2 linked regions of the Kluyveromyces lactis genome follow. Each later gene encodes a partner of the first gene's protein in a complex. Links are inferred from orthologs where the notes say so. Each region holds a gene or a part of one and is shown on either strand. Other genes may lie near its edges.

The links.
Region 2: the proteins of MDY2 (region 1) and SGT2 are in contact, whole or in part, in an NMR structure (PDB 4ASW), measured with the Saccharomyces cerevisiae proteins. The link is inferred for Kluyveromyces lactis from reciprocal best matches to the Saccharomyces cerevisiae genes MDY2 and SGT2. Residues at the interface, in NP_014530.1 of Saccharomyces cerevisiae: Gln82, Lys118, Leu120, Gly123, Lys124, Val125, His127, Met147, Lys149, Asn151; in NP_014649.1 of Saccharomyces cerevisiae: Asp28, Gly29, Asp31, Ser32, Asn34, Val35, Asp38, Cys39, Glu42, Arg48.

Annotation. Positions count from the first base shown.
Region 1 is NC_006037.1:674,418-677,186, forward strand, and holds MDY2 (Mdy2p), read right to left. Parts: upstream 1,388-2,769; coding exon 752-1,387; downstream 1-751. Other genes in the region: Rab GTPase-activating protein MSB3, read left to right, coding at 1-640; SHR5 (Shr5p), read left to right, coding at 1,615-2,391; TGL4 (triacylglycerol lipase), read left to right, coding at 2,650-2,769. UniProt on the Saccharomyces cerevisiae protein: Required for efficient mating. Involved in the production of alpha-factor, the KAR9 and TUB1 location to the shmoo tip and nuclear migration into pheromone-induced shmoos.
Region 2 is NC_006040.1:104,223-107,386, forward strand, and holds SGT2 (Sgt2p), read right to left. Parts: upstream 1,633-3,164; coding exon 625-1,632; downstream 1-624. Other genes in the region: KLLA0_D01133g (uncharacterized protein), read left to right, coding at 1-561; ALG6 (dolichyl-P-Glc:Man(9)GlcNAc(2)-PP-dolichol alpha-1,3-glucosyltransferase), read right to left, coding at 2,514-3,164. UniProt on the Saccharomyces cerevisiae protein: Co-chaperone that binds to the molecular chaperone Hsp70 (SSA1 and SSA2). Regulates Hsp70 ATPase activity. Required for recovery from heat shock.

The sequences.
Region 1 (2,769 bases):
CTTTTGGCAAAGAATATATTCCAATAAAGATCAACAACACAGTCCCGGCCTATCCAATAAGAACGAATTTCTCTATAAGTTGCCACCAGTCACACTCTGTACTGCCAGTTGGTTCATGAGCTGTTTCATAGGAGTAGTACCTATTGAAGCTACCTTACGTATATGGGATTGTCTCTTCTATGAGGGTTCACACATTCTTTTCAAGATGTCGTTAGCGATCATCGAACTAAGCGAGACCAATTTACCAAAATTAAATCACGTTAGCAGCCGAAACTCAGACGATGAAGACATGGAATTATTCCAAGCTATTCAAACATACCCTAGACGGTTGATAAACCCCAACGATATTATAGACAAAGCCATCTTCAAGAGGAGATTGAGATTCAATGCACTCAATCAAGAGGAAATCGAACGATGTAAGAAGTACGTTATCTCTCAAAGAGCCAAATACAAGAACTTCCAAGATGTAATGAAGAATGAAACCACCAACTCCAATAATAAGAGAGACTCCAAATTGGCACAGGAACTGATCAATGAAACCTTTTCTAACGAAGGATACGGATTCAAGAAGGGTTTAAATGGGGTAAATTGGAATAATAACATCAAAGAAAGAGTACGTAGATTGAGCAGAAAGAGGTAATTCTCTCATCACCAATGGAAGAAAGAGCAGAAATATCTAAAAGTATAAAATCACTACATATATAACCGGGTTGTTTTGCATTATGGACCAACAAATGACATGTTCTATCTTTTACTTACTCAACTCCCAACCTTTCTGTAGCCTTCCAAGGGCCACTGAGGCCGTGCTAGCATCCAAGCTACTCTCTAAAACGGTTCTAATTTTATCCCAAGGCAAATCAATATCTGTTTGAGATGAAAGATCCAACTGTGGATCCTCCATATCGACATCCATCAACTCAAGTTCAGGTTCAGGTTCCTGCGCTGGTTTCGGCAAAGGTGCTGTTTCCACAGGTTTCTCTGCTTTGGAAACCATTGCGACAAGGGATATTTTATCCTGGTTCAAATCGGAGACCAATTGAGTGTCGTGGAGGACTTTACCCTTTAACAACAACTTGATTTGACCAGTTGTATATATCTCAGGCTCGGTTTCCACTAAGAATTCCTTGATCTGACCCACGGTATCGGTAGATTCGAAGCTTTTGGAATGAACAAATTTAGGCGCTTTGATCGATTTGATGGTAACTTCTACAACTTTAGAGATACTCTTAGAATGTGATTTACTTGGATCATATTTGTACCTCAATGGGGGCAACGAAACACCAAGGTTTGTAACTTCATGTAATGGTTTGCGGTAGTTCGATGCAAGTTTTGGCTCATTCAAAGCGGCCAAACTCAAAAATTTACCAACGAAATCAAGTTCAGACATGATTGGAGGTGGGATGTGCGATATTGTAGTAGTTTAGTTCCTTATACTCCCTTATACATCTCTTCATTAGATGTCTAACTTGTGTTAGTGTTAATCTGAACATAAATATCAATTCCGTTAAATTTATTTCAATTCCTACATAAAAGGGTAAAAACACGAACGATATCAGATCAATACGGGAAATAAGAGGTAGAAACGGCATTCTACCAGGTAACATTGCAACACAAATGGTATCACTGGTACTGGCAGATACTGCAGACAGTTCAGATCTATCTAAAGCTGCGATTACCGTTGAAGAATCAACTTCTGCACAACAACCGAAATTCTTCAATTACCATGAATTTGTGATTACAAAGTACAGAGCACTAGATGAGGAATCATGCGAAGAGCATGGACCTGAGAATCCAATCTGCATCACCCATTTTCCAAACATATACGTACCTGAAGAAAGCGATGAATTTAGAACCACTAGAGTCGTTCGAATTCCCAGAAGGTTTGAGTCATCCACAGAATTTCCTAATTTCAGCACACAGTTACCTGGGTCTGAACCAGCAGCCTTACCAGATACTCACAACAAGGAGTTCGTTCCGGCAGGAGAGTTTGAAGGCCAATGGTATGGCGAAACGTCAGTGAGCCCATTATCAAACTATTTGGATCAAGCGGAATGGACTGAAATTGTAACTCGAATCAATTCACTCTTAGAGGCTGCATACAACCCAATAACCAGAAGAAATTTTGTCAACGTCATATTGGACCTCTTGACACTGAACTTATGGAGTATCATCGAGCCATACCTGTTCGTTAACCCGTTGCAATCAGTTGAAGACTATGTCTCGGAAATCAATCGATCGGAATCGTTCAGATTGAAGGGCATAAAGATCATTCCGCCCCGAGAAAGCTCATATCTATCGGTATGTATAGATAGCCCAGCATGGATTAAACCATGCACAGCCATAAATGAACCCTTACTAACCCATTGTGACACCCTTATCGTCCTTCTTTAACCAGCTTGATGTTGTAACACCGATGCCCAATCACTGTTGACGGCGTTGAAACCTTTAAGGAAACATGCAAAGGAAACAAAGCAAAGAATGACACTTTAATAACCACCACATGACTGATTTGCTTGAAAGGATTCTGTTGATGTGGTCTAATCAACCTATAAAGGGCACGAAGCATAGCATCAGATAATAAGCTTACATACGCTTTGCTCTGTTGCATACACACAAACCTGCTGAGCGGGATATTACTTATATTTTAGAATGCCGAATGTCATGAACACGCCCAGCGTGACTGATATTAAAGATGACCCGATTACTAGTTATGTCATTAAGAACTACTACAAGAGGGCCAATAAGGGCGCCGAAATGACAGAAGAACAG
Region 2 (3,164 bases), on another chromosome or scaffold:
ATAACGATGCGAAACTCTTTCCTATCTTTGGGGAACCAAATGTCGCAAAAAGGTGTAGCAAAAAGTTTTGAAAATACAAACTGCGCTTGGTCTTATGATCTTTCATATTATGAGTTTACTCGAAACTTGGAATATCTAGAGCACTCTGTTGTCACTTTACTTAATAACTTTGAGTCTCTTCTCGCAAAGACAACTTTATGGTGGAAACATTTTGGTGAATTAATGGAACTGAAGAAAGAGTGGAAGAAAAATTTCCCAAATGACAAGGCGCCTCCTTCTTCAGCAAACAGAAATTTTATAGATACCTACATTGAAGGTAAAAGGTCTAAATTTAGGAATAAGTTATCCAATCAACTGAAAATGAGCTCTTTGAACCTTAAGAAAATTGGCGGTGAAATCAAAACAACACATGAATCGATCGCAGTGGGGATAAATCTATTCATCGAATTCAAAGAGCAGTTTTACCACGATCATATCGTTAAATCCATAGTTGATCAAAGAATCAGGGAAAATAAACAAATCATGCAACAATTGATTGATACCATGAAAGGGCATGTTTAACTAGTCATATATAGATCAAATATATACAGTCAAAAAGGACAAGCAAAAGTTTGGGTATACTGGTTATTGCTGGCTGCCGTTGCCGCCACCAAACATGTTTTTGGCCATGTCTCTAATAGATGGGTCATTCATCATTTGACTCAAATCTGGCATGCCGCCACCAGATGAGAATTGGTTGGCCATTTGCTTCATTGCTGGATTGGACATCATATCCTGCATTAGACCTGGATTTTGCATCATCTTTTCAGCGGCTTGCATAACTTGAGGGTTGTTTAGCAGTGCTCCTAAACCACCGCCTAGACCGCCACCACCTAACAAGCTTGAAAGATCTGGTAAGCCACCAGCGCCTGCACCAGGACCTTCAGTCGCAGATTTGTCAGAAACATCTTCAGAAGAAGCGCTGGTAGAGCTCTTCTCTAAGTTCATTGAGGTTTCTACCTTCTTCTTGGCAGTTTCGTAATCTCTTTTCATAACGTCAGTAGCTTTTTCCCCTTCGATATCTAGGACCTTCTTGTAAGCATCTAAAGCTTCTTCAGGCTTATTCAAAGCATACTTCGCAAATCCAAGTCTAGAAAAACCCTTAGAATATGTAGGATCAACTTCAATAGCTTGCTCGGCGTCCTTAACGGCCTGTTCGTACTGCTTCAAAGAAGAATAAGCTGCAGCCCTGTTCGAGTAGTAAACAGCGTTAGATGGAGAAACTTCGATAGCAGCAGTGTATTTTTCAATAGCCTCATCAAATTTCTTAGCAGCCATGGCCTTGTTACCCTGTAGCTTTAATTCTTCAGCCTTGGCCTTAGCTGCTGCATCTTCAACTGGAATATGAACCTTCACTGGTTCACCAGAAACGCCTCCAGAAGAGGGAGCTGAGGCTAATAGTTCAGGTAATTTCTTGCCATTAAAAGGACCAGAGATTAAAGAATCAGTCTCATCTCTTTCAAATTGGAAGGCCTCAGTGATACAGTCGATGGCAACATTCAACGAATCAACATAGTCTTCGTTTACTGAAGAAGACGATGATGACAAAAAGTCAACAATCAAAGCAGCAATTTCCTTATTAGATAGGGACATTCGGATTTTCTAAACTTTTGACAGTGCTTTAAGATGAAATAAGGATCACAAACCGCTGTATACGATAAGATGAAGCAGTAACAAAGGACGAGTCAATGATAACTCTTCTTTGAAAGTACATAAAATCCAGGCAACTTGTCATTTAAGCACTATTATAATAAACTTTTTCCTGAATGTGAATGGCGAAAAAATGATAAGTACGGAAAAACCTTCGGTTAGAGAAGGCAACAGAAGACGAAAGATTCACAGAGACACGTCAATTTCACATCGTTAGCATTTTTAAGCTGACTCGTGCCGTCTTAATTGAGAAGTAGTGATATTTGATAGAAGCTACTAATAGTTTGGAACCATCAACCATGGAAAGGAAGTTCAAAGAGTTGCTGGCTCCTTGAAAGAAGGAAAAAGTTAATCAAAAACAAAATCTTCCCCGCCAGGACTCGAACCTGGAATCTTCTGGTTTCAGAAGTAGCTAACATCGTAGCCAGACGCCGTGACCATTGGGCCACGAGGAATAAGATTTCGTGACGGTTACTACTTTTCGTTCTATATAACAGCTACAACAGATCATATGATACTTTTAAAGTAATATTCAGACTTTACCTATTTAGTGAGTATGCCGTTACACAAATACGGTGCATCCAGCATGGAGAGTTTTACTATATTGAATTTCATTACGAAGAATTGTTTTTCTCATTTACGAGTCTTATACTGGTGCTTTTTGTCTTTGTTTATTTTTGATCGAAACTGACATTCGATATATGAATACTAATTAAAGTGTAAGTAGAATCCTAAATGATTAAACAGAGGAGTGAAATATATATCCCGGTTTTGCTCTTGCAAGGTACGCCCCGTATCATTACTGCTATTATAAATTTTAACATCTATAAATCTTGCAAAGTGCTGTTTCTCATTTCGAATAATTTATAATTGTTCCATATCCAAAATGTCACAAAACATGAGAAGCCCAAGGAACAATTGGCAAGCACCCATAAATCAGGGTATTTTGATGGCGGGGAGACGTAATAGTCTAGAAAATGAATAATCCCCATTGCAATATATGAGCCAACAATGATTAATCTCCATATTAGGCTCTTGGGTAGTAAACTTGCCCGTCTATAATCAACATCTATATCACTGATGGATGGCCCTGGTGTCAAAAATTTTGGGAGGAAGCGTGGTGTGACGAAACTGAAGTTACCGATCAACCAATTGCTAAACATGAACATGACTCCATATTGCAATACTAGATTGTCCTTTTTCAGTAATGGCCAGAGTGTAAACAATGCCACGTTGTTAATCCAACAAACCAATGATAGAACATTCCAATCTCTTGACGTGTACAAGAGTGTAATAGGAAGTAAAGGTAATAAGATTGTCTTTTCATGAACCTGGAAGCTGAATAAGAAGAATGACATCGAACATGCGGCCAAAGCATATGGTAGTAAATGTCTCTTCGGGTATAAAAATGTTATAATGAATGATGGTAAAAGCCCAATAACTGTTGCGAGTAATGAGTATAATTGAAGATCCTT